Linked DNA regions of Ovis aries. The protein of the gene in region 2 purifies or fractionates together with the protein of the main gene of each other region. This does not show direct contact. Links are inferred from orthologs where the notes say so. Each region holds a gene or a part of one and is shown on either strand. Other genes may lie near its edges.

What was found.
Region 1: the proteins of PPP2R1A (region 2) and MTCL1 purify together in Homo sapiens (co-immunoprecipitation; 3 studies listed by BioGRID and IntAct, with this or other methods). This does not show direct contact. The link is inferred for Ovis aries from reciprocal best matches to the Homo sapiens genes PPP2R1A and MTCL1.

Annotation. Positions count from the first base shown.
Region 1 is NC_056076.1:41,698,133-41,705,279, reverse strand, and holds part of MTCL1 (microtubule cross-linking factor 1), read right to left. Parts: intron 7,023-7,147; coding exon of another isoform or gene 6,948-7,022; intron 3,233-6,947; coding exon 2,057-3,232; intron 1,074-2,056; coding exon 918-1,073; intron 1-917. UniProt on the Homo sapiens protein: Microtubule-associated factor involved in the late phase of epithelial polarization and microtubule dynamics regulation.
Region 2 is NC_056067.1:58,165,807-58,172,953, reverse strand, and holds part of PPP2R1A (serine/threonine-protein phosphatase 2A 65 kDa regulatory subunit A alpha isoform), read right to left. Parts: intron 4,852-7,147; coding exon 4,619-4,851; intron 3,673-4,618; coding exon 3,525-3,672; intron 3,407-3,524; coding exon 3,251-3,406; intron 1,591-3,250; coding exon 1,476-1,590; intron 1,351-1,475; coding exon 1,280-1,350; intron 839-1,279; coding exon 704-838; intron 1-703. UniProt on the Homo sapiens protein: The PR65 subunit of protein phosphatase 2A serves as a scaffolding molecule to coordinate the assembly of the catalytic subunit and a variable regulatory B subunit.

The DNA.
Region 1 (7,147 bases), on a different chromosome or scaffold from region 2:
GAGCTGTGACACCCCTTCCTGCCAGGCAGTCTTCAACAGCAAGACATACTCCTTCTGGTTCTTGATTACTATCTATACTTCATGTCGCACAGCACCTAGCACTCGTAGGGGACTTTCTCACCTGACTCTGAGAAGTGAGCTTCTGTTTGCTTCCGAAAGCAAACACCCTGACCTTTCCTAATGCAGAACATGCAGCTGTAACCCTGCAGCAACTTCCTCAACAGGTGGTACCAGAGCCAGACACCTGCCTCGGGGCCACCTACCTTCTGTCCTGGTGGAATTACCTACAGGGAGGAGCCTGCGCTGACAGGACAACTGTGGCCTACAACAGGACCCCGCTCCTCCCCCTCGTTCCTGTCCCGGCTGCCACTCATCTGACCTCTCGGTTTGGACTGTGAGGTGCATGGGAGGGATATGTTTTTTTGCTTTTGATCTTATCTTACAATTTTAAACAAAATACAAAGGACAAGAGGGTGAGGTGGGGTAGGGGAGGTAGACAGGCAGCTGGAAAACTATGGGATGAGGAAAAGCAGTACTATCCACGGTGACTGTGAGATTTGTGGACATGGGTTGCTATGGCAACAGAGACTGCGGAAGAGCCCCCAGGTCAGAAGAGCATCCCCGGTTCTGTCCTACGTCTGGAGCACCATCCAGAAAGGAGCAGGTGGGGGTGGGGCAAGACACACAGGTGGGACACTCTTGGTTTTCAGTCCTCCTTTCCTCACTGCCTGACAAGCAGCCACACAGCCTCAAGAATCAGTCTCAGTCGCTTCACTTCGTTTCTAGTTAAGTACCCCCCTGATCTCACATGCCCCATATCCCTATCATATTCCCTAGGGGCCTTGGACCTAGTTGGGAACCGTCACACAAACACATAGCAAAGGAGGAGTGGGAAGGTGAAGGGGACCCCTGCTCACCTCGAGGCTGAAGCAGCTCTGGGCTCCAGGCCGGCAGCTCCCGGCATCCCCATCGGCTCGGCGGTGCAGCTCCCGTGCGGTGCGGAGATGGAGGTGACCCCGCTCCTCCCCTCGCTCCTGCCCCGGCTGCCACTCCATCTGATCTCTCAGTTTGGACTGTGAGGTGCATGGGAGGGATTTGGTTTTTTTGCTTTTGTTCTTGTCTCACAATTTTAAACAAAATACAAAGGACAAGAGGGTGAGGTGGGGTGGGGAAGGTAGACAGACAGCTGGAAATCTATGGGATGAGGAAAAGCATGACCAGAGAAACCAACGCAAACACAGCGGCATCAGAGAGAGGAGAGAACAGAGCCAGGAGGAGGAGCAGCAAAACGGCAGGCTGAGAGATCTGAAAGGCAAACAGAGAGACGGGAGAATGCAACCCGCTGGTCACGAGGCGCATGCGATGGGGACGCGGGAGTGAGACTCGCCCGCAGTCAGGCATCGGGCATCGCACGCCACAGTCCAGGGCGGTGCACGGAGAGCCGTCCGGGCCACACCACTCGCCGCCCTCGGCTCCAGGGCGCTGTCAAAGCCATCCTTCTCTCCACCATGCTCCTTGCCTGCCCCACCTGTGTCGCAGAGGGAGCCGGTGGGCTGAACTGTCCCTGGGGCAGTGAACCCAGGCACGAATGCACCCGCTCCCGGGGAGTCTGCTAATTATCCTGACTTCGAAGAGCGCTTGCACTGCGCTTCAAACTTCTCTTTGCTTCTTCATCGAGATGGCTGGTCATTGAGGACGCCCAAAAAAGGAGAAGGGACAGAATGCGTCCATCCTTGGTGCTGCCAGTGGGTTAGCCTCGTGTCAAGAGGTAGGACCTCTTAGCCAAGAGCAGTGACGTGGTTAAAAATAAAAGGGAAAGGGGGAAAGAAACAAGGAAACAAAAGAGAGCTAAACCAAACCAAACCAAAAAAAAAAAAAAAAAAAAGAGAAACCCAACCAACAGAAAGGCTTTGGTTGAAACTTGAGGCTTTAGTACAATGCAGGTTTGCAATCATAACCAAGCAGCCGTGAGCAAGGTGAGTTGGAGCGCGGCAAGGCCAGCGAGAAGGAGGAGGAGCAGGACGGAGCAGGGAGGCAGAGCCAGGAGCCCCCTTACCTGCAGGTCCGGGCCCAGCTCCTTGCCCAGGTTCCCCACTGGGGAGTCCCGGGATACGGAGGTCACAGAGGACAGGAAGCTGGATGACTCGGTGAGCTGGGGCAGCGGGGACAGGCCCTCCCCCAGCCGCTCCACCTGCTCCAGAAAGGCCTGGAGCTCTTTCCTGAAGGCCTTCATCCTGGCGTTGAGGGTCCCCAGCAGCTGGGGCTCCTCCCTGGTGTCCTGGCCGCAGGCCCCGGGCGAGGCCTCTCCGCCCGGGAGCGCAGCCTCGGTGTCCGTGATGATGCGCTCCACCGTGCGCTCCAGCCGCTCTGCCTCGTGCCTGATGCTCGCCAGGCGCTCCGAGTCCTCCCGCGCGCGCAGCAGCTCCGCCGGGCACTCGCCGGCCTCCGACGGCCTCCCACTGCCGAAGCCGGACGTCTTCTCGAAGGTCTCCTCCGAGTCACTCTCGCCGCCAATGGGGCCCTCCCGGCGGGGCTGCACGCGGCCGTCCTCGCCGTCGTCGCTCCTCCGGCCCGTGTCGCTGTCAGCATCGCTGTCCCGCGGGCTAGGGGCACGCGGGCCCGGCTGCAGCGTTAGCACCTCCCCGCTCAGCTCGCTTATCGGCAGCCGCACCGCCTGGAGCTCGTCCTGCAGGGGTGCCCCGCCCCCAGCCAGCCAGCCTGGCTCCGGCCGCGGCTCGAACTTGAACTTGCTCAGCTCGTGGGTCAGCTGCCGGTTGTGGTCCTCGATCTCGGAGATGGACCGCCGCAGCAGCTCCGCCTCCTCCTCCACAAACTGCAGGTGCCGGCGCAGCTCGGCCGAGGACTCCAGGGAGTCCCCCCCAAAGGGCGAGGTCGGCCCACCGGTTAGGGGTTCCCGGCCGCGCAGGTCTTCCATCTCAGCCTTGAGGCCCCGATTCTCCACCTCCAGCTCCACGATTTTCCGGCCCAAGATGCTGGCCTCTTCCTCCACCAGCCTCAGCCGCAGCTTCAGCTCGGCCTCGCGGGTGCTGGGCGGCCCGCCGGCCTCGCCCGTGGGCAGGGGGCTGTCGGCGTCCCCATAGAGGGCCCTGTACCTCTGCAGCTCCTGCTCCAGCCGGTCCTTCTCGCGCCCCAGCGTGGCCATCTTCCTGAGCATCAGCGAGCCTTCCTCCTTGGCAAACTGGAGCTGGCACCTCAGATCCGCGCTGTCATCCTGCCCGCAGAGAGAGCCCAGACCAGGGTTATTTGAAAATACCACACCTGCCTGTTTTTGACAATTTTCCCCGCACCTCACCCCTCACACACCCCACACACGAAGCACCACTCTTCCCGTCAGTGCATGGGGTCCACCGAGAGGGGCCATGACAGAGACGGGGCGGGCCTGGTCCTTCACGGGGGCACCAAGGCCTGCTCCGTCACAGGAACAAAGGACAGCAAACAAGTAGTTTGGGCAAAGGTGCACATGAAAACCATCACCCAGGAGATGGAGAGGAGTGAGGAAATGAAGCCCAGCACCGCCAGCAATGTGGCGACTCACCCCGCCTCTCTGGGTCCATCCTGACCTGTGAGACACCCCAGGCCCCTAGCTTAGCCTGGGGCAGATGGACAGGCCTTTGTGCCAACTTCTACCTGTTGCCACTTACCTCCTCCCTCAACAGAGGGGCTGCCAGCACTTCATAGGTACTAATGGGATGGGGAGGCCAGGTGACCCCAAATCAGCCTGGCTTTCCACAAATCTGCTGAGAACCTAAGACAAGGCAACCCCTCCCCCCATCGTCCTCCCCCAACTCATCCCAGGGATGACATGAAGATGACTCAAGATGATGGGCATGAGGGCCTCTGGATGCTAAGCTGCAGAGTAAGCACCCAGCTCTGGCGGTTAGTATGAGATGGATACTGTAAACTGAAGGCCCGAGTGACTCATACCCTCTCTCCATGCAAACTCGACTTCAGCACCTTTTAGTGGCTATGACAGCAGGAAATTAATCCCAGAAACCCAAGGCAGGGTGTTAAGTGGTTTGAAATCTAAAAAGTAGGGCTCCTCGGGTAGCCAGAGGACTCTGGAGGGTCACGGGAGCAGGCTGTCTGCTAAAACCCTGCACTGCTCAACTGAGGTCCAGAAGGCCCTTTCAGGACCAACTAGAGTGACCCTTGCCTTCCCCATGGGGTCTCCACACCCTGGAACTGCATCAATTCTGGATCTGGGCTCACGCTACGGCTTCATAAATGACAACTGGGCGGCTGGCAACAGTGACCAGTGTCATGACTCGTTCCTCTGTGATTGGCTATCAAGTTCCAAAAGGTTGTCCTGGGAACCAAGACTTGGACAAAGTCTCCCTCCTTATTTGGTGGTCACATCCCATCACCAGGGGAGGAAGAGTCATCAAACCAGCAAGTCAACCCTGGGGTTGGGGGGGAGCTCTTCCAGCTGGTCACTTGTGCAGACGGGTCAGCAAGAGAACATGGTTCATTCTCCACTGGTCCTGCTGCACACTCACCACTGGGCAGAAAGACCTCCCTGGGAGCCCCTACCTTGCCTCCTCCCACCACTAGACCTGAAGCCAACTTTCTGCTTTGTCTGAAACTCAATGAATTTGGGGGAAAGGAGCAAGTAACTTTTTTTCTTCCTCTCTGCATATCAGGAAAGTGATATATAAATGTCACTGGGAGGAGGGCACAGTCTTCATGATCTAGAACTTATCACATCAAGGGTCTGGTTTGGTTTTGGTTAGGCTGAACACCAAAGAATTGATGCTTTCGAAGTATGGTGCTGGAGAAGACTCTCGAGAGTCTCTTGGACTGCAGGGAGATCAAACCAATCAATCCTAAAGGAAATCAACTTTGAATATTCATTGGAAGGACTGATGCTGAAGCTGAAACTCCAATATTTTGGCTACCTAATGCGAAGGGCTGACTCATTGGAAAAGACTCTGATGCTGGGAAAGATTGAAGGCAGGAGGGAAAGGGGACCACAGAGGATGAGATGGTTGGATGGCATCACTGACTTAATGGATATGAGTTTGAGCAAATTCCAGGAGATGGAAAAGGACAGGGAAGCCTGGTGTGCTGCAATCCATGGGGTCGCAAAGAGTCAGACACAACTTAGCAACTGAACAAAGGTGGACATAACGAGGGGTTCTGTGACAACCAGAAATAAAGCCGACAGCCCCACGCAATGGAGCAAGATAGGTTACCATCACTGCTGCGGTAATGATGCACATTTTACAGGGCCTACACAGAATACATGGGCCATAAAACACAGACTGAATTTAATCCTAACTTAACACTAAGGGGAAAAGCCTACTTATTTGTTATTCATTCATTCCTTCAGGAACTACTGAATACCTACTGGGTACCAGAAATTGGCATGTTAAACAACCCAGGTTCTTAGAACTTTTGAAAGCAGATCAAAAGCATCTTTTTAAATTTTTGGATATAGATTTATAAGAAATCTATGTGTCCAAATATAGAGAGATCATTGTTGTCATAAGAAGGGGTTTGAATAAACTAAAACAGGTGTCAGTGGAGATAGAGTGTCAGTACTTTGTAAATGAATCACTTCAGGGGTAACAAGTCCAGGAGAGAAAGATGTTTAGCCCCATCATGAACTTGGTAGCTAGTGTCTGTCCTGAGTCTAGAATCACCTACACCATCCTGTCTCCAACTTAAGCACAGAATTTCACTTCAGTGCTGGGGACAGCCGTGGAGACAGTGGAGGGGAATGTCACCTGTTCAAGGGGAATTCCACCTTCAGTCCGGCACTCAAGCCTGGGCAGAGGCCCAGGTGGGATCAGTGTCCTGATGCACCCTCCCTGGAGACTCACGACTGGTGAGCGGCCGAGGGCAGAGCCCCCTGCACAGTTTAGGACGCTTCTGTCTCAAACCAGGGTCAGGGCGTCTCAGGCTGTCTCTCCTGAGGGTTGTTCCCCAAAAGTTGAGCTGAGCTGTTGGAGGGTGCACATGGAGTCTGGTGTTCCCCAGGGCTCTGTGCTCAGATAGAAGCACGTATCTGCACCCCTCTACATGGTAGAAAACCCCAGCAAGCCCTCAAATCACCTTGACTTCTGGGAACCTTACACCATCCCCCCATCCCCTGCCATTCCCCACAAGTCTGATTCTAAATCAGAACCATCCTCCTCCTCTGTCTCCTCGAACTTAAACCCAGGCCGGGTAAAAAAGCAGGATTCCACGACATACCCTAGTGAGCGTCCGATTCATAGATTACCTGAGGATTGACCAAATATCCAAAAAGGCTCCAGCTTCTTAAGGAAAGAAACTACCCCCACACCAGGAATTCTAACATACGATGAAAGCATGCTTCGTTTCTATGCAATACCCATGCACAGCCAGCCCTGCCACCAGGACTAACGCAGGTTTTGATTTAAAAAAAAAAAAAAAAAAAGGCCGTCTTTGAAACCGAGGGAGTGTGTGGTCAACTTCACTGCTCAGTGGGGGCAGCCGGAGCCGGAGTGCAAGGTAAAGGGAGGCTGAGGGGAGCCGGGCTCAGCCTGTTCTGGGGCAGGAGGCCAACTTCTTCTGATACGATGGGGGAATCACAGCCTCAGCTGTAGCAGTACTGGCTGGACACCCATCTTATCTGGTAACTGAAGACTTTCTAGAACTCTGCCAAGACTCCCCGGGAGGGGCAAGGCCGACCTCGAGCTCTGGTTTCAGGAGACGGTCTGACAGCTCCAGGAAGGAGCATGAAGCAGATCCAGTAGCCGGCCCATGTGACTCTTCGTGGTGCGGCAGAGAAGCCCAGCATGGCCCGCAGTGAGGGAGGACGCACACAGGACCACCACCACCGCCACCAGCGGAAAGGCCTTGACAAGCAACAGAAATATAACGCTGTGGGTGTATATTGTCTGGCTTGCAAGTCTGCCTCTGGCCAGTACCCCAGCGCCGCTGACCGCTGCTCGCGCTCCTACCTTACGCCGGGGCGGCAGTTTCCTCTGAGCTTTGGCTGTAGACCTGCAGTTCCCAAGGTGCTCGGCTCCTCCGTTCTGCCAGACAGAAACTCCCGGCTCAATGATCCCACTCTCAGGTCTCCCCCCTCCTGCTCCCAGCCTCACTGACCCCCGGTGAGTGCATTGCACTTGTCACCCCACGATATGCAAAGATGACGCTT
Region 2 (7,147 bases):
AAAAAAGGGCCCTGGGCCATGTCAAAAAGATCATGCTAACATTGTGACTTATGGTGAGGCCCTTGGGCCATGTGGCATCAAGAGACCTGTAACCTAAGGTCAGCCATCAGCAGACAGGATGGGCACCCTCTCTGGGGTTTGACTGAGAGGACTGGCCTGCTGCTGGTCGGTGCCCTCTCCCTTCACGCCAGCTGAGACGGAACAAATCAGGGCAGCCACCTCAGACCCACAGGGTGCTGGGGTCAGCCAGAACAACGCCCTCAGTGTAGGTCCCCTCTGCCCCTGGATTCCTGTGAGAGAAACCATTCTCCACCTTATTTAATCCACAGCACTTCAGGGTCTCTAGTAAGCACCTTAGCCTGAACTTGGATAGACATGAACCTGTCACAGCACCTGTATGATCAGGGAGTCAAGGGACCGCCCATCTGTCCCTCTCCACTGCCAGTCTCTGCAGGTCCTGGAGGATCAAAAGGATCTTGTTCCTTTTTTTCTCAGTATCCCTAATGCCCAGGAAAAAGACTCGTACAGAATAAAGGCACATGAAACAAACGCCAAACAAGCGAATGAGCTAACGTGCAGCCCATCAGGCCCACAGACACTCAACTCCCTGGCAACCTGGGCGTTTGCCACAGGTGCTGGCGACCCTGGGGAGCAGCTTCCCCGCCCACCACAGTCAGCGCGCAGAGCCCCACAGCGCCCGCACCTCGTCCTTCAGCTGGGCCAGGAAGAGGGGCAGGAGGTGCTCGATGGTGCTGTCTTTGCCCAGGATCGGGGACAGGCCCATGATGACGGAGGCCAGCGCCGACTTGACGTGCTGGTTGGCGTCAGACACCAGCTCCTGGGAGGTAGAAGGAGGATGGGAGCCACAGGGTCAGTGGCTGCGGAAACTCAAGTCCTACGAACCCTGAGACACTGCCTGCTTTTGTCCTCTCGATCCAGGCTGAGTGCACGAGGGGAACTGGAGCGCCTGCCTTACACATTCGGCGTGCCTGGAGTTCAATGACCCCTGCCCCTCCCCGGGAGCCTCTGCCCCAAACTCGAAGCTCTGTGGATGAGGAGACGCTGTGAGCTCTGAGGAGGAAGCACCCCACCACCACGCTCAGCCCCGAGCCTCAGATTCCGCCTGCCCTCAGGCTTCCTGACTGCTCTAAACCCAACACTGCCTGGTCCGAGGAGGCTGGGAACTCAGTCTGCATCGGGCTGCCCCTCACGCCCTATCTCCACCTTCCTTCCAGAAGGTTCAGGCATGCTCTACTCCTCCCACCAAACTCCCTGTTACCTTGATGCAGGGCAAGATCTGGGTCATGATCACATTCTCCCGACAGTCGGCGGAGAGATTTTCACAGAATTCTGTGGGCAGCGAGAGGGAGGTGACGGGAGGTGAGACCCGAGGTGCCCGTTCTGCCTGCAGTCCCTCGGACACCCAGCCCACCACCCACACGCCCGCTTGCTGTGTTCTGGTCACCAGCACCAACCTTTGACCTTGTGGGAGGCGGCGGCCCTCACCTCGGCCTCACAGTCTTTCATCAGGTTCTGGAAGGCAGGGACCAGGTCCGTCTTGGTGATCTCAGGCCCCACCGCTTTCTGGAGCTGCAGGAAGTGAAGGAAGGGCAGGGGGAGTGAGAGGGCTTGCCGGGCACCTTTGGTGAATGAGAACAAAATCAAAGTTACAGGCACCAGGACTGAGGCAAAAGCAGCCCTTGGCGTCACCGCTGAGATGTAACGCGGGTGCCGCAGGGGCGACCTCAGCCAGGTCTCAGAGCCTCTCTGAGCCTCGGTTTCCCTGTTGTGCAGTGATGACATGTGTATGGTGCTGAGGGGCTGGGCAGGGCAGTGGTCACAAGCGTGGCCCTGGAGTCCAACTCCCTGGCTCAAGTTCTTACTCTTGCTTATCATCTGTGTGACCCTGGATGAGTGCCTGCACCTCTCTGAGCCTCAGCTTCCTCAACCCCGAGGGTACCTACTGCAAAGTGCCGCTGTCTGCATTAAAAGTAACAACAGACTGCCTTACTGTTCAGGTTACTCGGGTTGGGTTTTCTGTCCCTGATGCCAAAAGACTAACGATGTATGATCACTGCCACTTTCTCATTTGTATTATTTCTGTGTTATGACTATTTACCAGAACCGATATTACTTTTGTAATTAAAATAAAACAGTACAGGTTAGGGTCCCCCCCTCAGGAAGCCAGGCAAGGAGAATGCACAGGTTCTGCCGTGAAGCTGCTTCGTGAGGGCCTGGGGGAACAGGGTGGTTCCTGACTGCGAGGAGAGGAGCCTGCTGCCCGCCTCTCCAGCGTCCTCTCCCCTGAGAGCCACTGCCCGACGTTCTTGCCTGTGCTCTGCTCACCACCCAGGCCCGCTGCACACACGGGACAGCTCCTGCCCCGGCCCTCTCTCGTCCTCCAGAAGCTGCTGCAGCACCTCATCTCGGCACTTCCACGCCCACCGGCCAGCCCTGCGCCTGTCGCGCTGTCTCACTGCATTCCCTGTCTCAGCTGACCTTCCCCCTTCAGGCTGCCTGTTCCTTGAAGCCCAGGAATGTGCTGAATTCACTGGATCCCCAACACCCAGCCACGAGCTGGAGCTCGACAAACATGTCTGTGCGATGAGCCATTGAGACTCCATGGAAAAAGCACTGTCCTCAGAGATGCGGCATCTGTTCTGCCTGCTTGACAGCATCACTCTGACCATTCAAACATTTGGGCCATGTTTTGCGGCTCGACTGTATCCCCTGAAATTCATACACTGACGCCCTAACTCCCCACTCCAGTACCTCAGAATGTGACTGTACTTGGCCACAGGGTCTTTAAAGAGCTAACAGGTTAAAATACGGTCATTAAGGTGAGCTCTAAGCCAAAACATCTAAAGCGCTTATAAGAAGAGGAGATGAGAACACAACCCACAGGTAACATGCAGGGAGAAGGAAGCCGCCTATGGCCGAGCAAAGACGCCTCCGGGAAAGGAGATAAGGTTCGTAGGTCGGGAACACACACATGCTACCCTTCTCTGCTCCTGTGGTTCCCCCACAGAACCTTAAGTTGGCCTCAGAAATCTCAAGGAAGCACTTCAAGCTGCCGCTATCAACCAACCAGAGTTGTCAGGTGAGCTAACCAAATGACAAGAGAGCTTCCTGCTTTGATGCCTGGATGACCCACTGGGCTTCACTAAACCCCGGCTCCACGTGGCCCCGCTCCTTCCTGAGGCCTCCATCTTCCCGTCCGTGAGACGCTGTCTACAGCCCCTGCACGCACCTCCGTGAACTTGTCGGCCACCATGTAACGGACGCGCCAGGACTTGTCCTCAGCAGCCTGGCGCAGGGTGGGCATCACCAGGGCCTCCAGGTCCTCCTGGGGCAGGAGCTGGGCGATGTTCACGCACGCCTCCACCGCTAGCAGCCGCACCGAGTCCTGGGGAGAGGGTGGGAACAAGGAGGGGGAGCAGAAGCCCCATCAGCTCCGGGCCAACTCCCCAGACTCGGGGTCCGCCGCGGGGAGAAGCAGGAGAGGGGTGGGCAGGCGGCCCCACCTGCTCGTCAGAGGCCAGGTTGGAGAACATGGGGATGATCTCGCTCTTGACGTTGTCCAGCTCCAGCACCTTGGCGAACTCCCCCAGCTTAGAGGCTGCGGCCCGCCGCACCATGGGGGTGTCATCTGAGCACAGGTTCCGGAAGTACCTGGGCAGGTAGAGGGGGCTCAGGAGGAGGAAACCCTGGAATCCCAGGCAGCCCTGCAGCTCCTGGCTTTGCCCAAGTGATCCTGATTCAAGTGAGAGCCTCTGAGTCTCCCCAGACCTACACGAAGGAACTGATAACAGAACCCACCCCACTGGGCCGCTGAGGTTTAAACAAGACGCCGTGTGAGAGACACCCAGCCATCTCTCTGTGCGCAGGTCTACAGCAAGCCGCAGCTGCTGATTCTATCTATAACTGTGACCACATAAAACTGCTTAGCTAAGAGGCTGCACTGAAGCTTCTCAGAGCGTTTCCTTTCCAGCACCGACTGCTTCCAGTTAAAGAAACGCAAGGGGCCCAGAACAGCCCTCCAAGCGCCTGCGAGCAGCTGCATGCTGCTGTCCTGGCCGGAGTGATGGCTCAGGGGCTGGGCGTGCTGCCCACGGTTCAGGACAATGGAGGAAGGACAGGACCCCAGGAGAGGAGGAAACACACATTAATGGGAGATTTTAATCCAATTAAAAATACTGGTTCTTCCACAGGCCAAATCTCAAGTGCAAGCAATTTCCTGGGGTTCAGCCAAGAGGGAGGGAGGTGGTGGAGGCGGCAGCCTCCCATCTGCCACACCGAGACAGGCCTACGACTGCACCGCACGTCACTGGCTGGGCACCTGCCATGTACCAGTCTTTCCTAAGCGTTTTATACACAGTAATTCACTTAAATAACCAATGGGAGGAAGAACCATCATTGTCTCCATTTCCTAAATGAGCAGGAGGCAGTGCCTGGACTGACACCCTGCCGCATCCACACACCAGCTCTCTGAGGGCTGGCAGAGCTCAGGGGCTTCTGGGAGCTGGATGGGCCTAACAGAGCCTGAGGCTTGAGAGAAGGGGACCAAACAGAAGCGGGAGGTGGGGTCTCGCCAGGGCCCAGCAGCCGGGGGACTCACTGTCGAAGCTCCGCCTTGACGGCACTGGACACGCGGGGGTAGCAGACGGAGAAGAGGCCGCAGGCTGAGGTGCGGGAGGTGAACCAGTCGCCGCCCGCCAGCCGCTTCACCAGGGGCACAAAGTGGGCCTCGAGGTCGGAGGGGGAGTGCTCGTGCGAGATGGCCCGCAGGGACTCCACTGCCTTATCCCGCACCACCGTCTCCTCCACCGTGGCCAGCGACTCCAAGGGCGGCTGTGGGGCAGAACAGGTCAGTGCACAGCTCCCCCCCAGCCCCCCCGAGCTCCCGGCTGCACCCCTTCAGGGACTCAGCTCCTCCGACAGGCTTTCCCTGATGACCAGAGGCCCGCGTGCACCCTATGTCTCCTCCCTGAAGAATCACAACAGAGAACCTCACGCACAGGTCCTTGAAGGTGCTTCAGTGGGGTGTACAAACCCCCAAGCTATACATGTCACCTTCTGAGAGGGCCACAGCTGTCCCTGGCATCTCCAACTGCAGTAATAATGACTCATGTTGACGGCAGTGTCTATTTACTACATGTTCACAGCAGGGCCACAGCTCCAGCGGTGCTGGTTCTATCTCACCTGAGTCCTATGAAGCAGGTCCTGTTACTGTCTCCATTCTAAACTAACAGGAAACTGAGGCACAGCCAGGCTAAGTAACTTGCCCGAGATGTAAGGGACAAGCTAGGATCTAAACCGGGCCAGCTGGCTCCAGAACCTCCAAAGGGCTGAAGGGCAGAGCTGTGTGGACAGGCAACCACACCAGGATCTCACGATACTGGGGAACCTGGGGCTCGAGACTCTTGTTACTGCGAGGCCTGGAGTGATCGTGTTCCTTTAGGGACATGTGACTGGCTGACCATGGGGTCACCTGGAGCCCAGCAGACCTCCTAGCACAGAGCAGGAATGCAGGAATTACTCACTTAAAGAAGGGAGACTCAATTTTTATCCTAATCTGTTCAAATAAACATGTGGGTGGAGACTTGTGGTCTGAAGTCCAACCTGCCTGACAGGGACAGAAAGCAGAAAGAAATAACTGGAGATGTCTCCAGGACGCAGGCAGGTGACTGACTGCAGCAACGGGCAAAGGTGACAGGCGGGCACAGCAGGGGCGGAGACTGGCTGGAGGGCGTCCAATCCAGGGAGCAGAGCTGCTTCCAGCTTCCAGCTCCGCCAACTGTCCCAGGGGGACATGGCCGGGGAAAGCAAATCTCGGGGTTTCCAAAAGCAGCCAAAAGGGCCAGGCTCTCACATGTGAAAAAGAAATCTCATTTGACACAAGCTTCAATGTGGATGAACTCCTTGAAGACGTTATACTAAATGCAATAAGGCTTTCACAAAAGACTACATAATGTATGCTTCCTTACGTGAGGTGCCACGTTTTACAAACTGAAGGTGTGTGGCAACCTTGCATCCATCAAGCCTATCAACATCAACTTTTCCAACAGCATTTGCTCACTTTGAGTCTGTGTCACACTTCAATAATTCTCAAAATACTTCAAACATTTTCATTATTAATGTATTTATTATGATGATCTGTGATCAGTGATCTTTGATGTTACTACTACAAAAAGACTGCCACTGCTGAAGGCTTAGATGATGGTTAGTGTTTTTTGGTGAGAAAGTATTTTTTAACTAAGATATGTATCTTTTTTTTTGACAGAACGTTACTGCACATTTAATAGACAACAGTAAAGTGTAATCATAACCTTTATATGCACTAGGGAACAAAAAAATTCACGTGACTCATTTTATTGCAACATTCACTTTCTTTATTATGGTAGTGTGGAACTAAACCCACAATTTCTGAGGTGTGTCTGTAGGCAGACTCAGAGAGACAGCCAGTGGAAAGGTGGCTGGGGGTGGGTGCGAGGAGCTCGGGAGCTACTGCTTGATGAGTACAGTTTCTTTGGGGAAGATGGAAAGTTCTGGAGATGAACAGTAGCGATGGCTGCACCACAGTATGCATGTACTTAATGTCATGGGAAAAGAGTGGTGAAAACAATCACTGCTTCTTAATAATAGTAACTATTTATCACCATTATTCCTAATAATGGTACTATTAATTCCTAATAATGGTCACTAATTACTACTAACTCAGCATGAAAAAAAATTTAAAAATCGAGAACAAATTTTTTACAATCTCATTAAAAATGCGGCAGACTAAAAGAAAGCCTGCAGAGTAACTACAAAACGCCATCAAGAGCAGATGCCAAAATATGAAGCTGTGTCTTCAGGGATCACGAAAGACAGAATTACAGGGTGGTTCTGAGGAACAGCAAAAACCGAGCAACCTCCAAGGTTCTTTAAACCCAGGCCACAGGACTGGAGCGCCTCCTCCCTTCCCTTCTCCCAAACAGCAGTTACTCTCAGTATCTGACCATCTCTAACCTCTACCATCACCCAACACAGGGTCACATGGACAGGAACTCAGGAAAAGTCACAGGGACAACCCTGGAATCCCAGCTCTGCCACTCACTAGCAGTGTGACTGCCTTCCCATCCAAGTACTAACCAGGACCAACCTC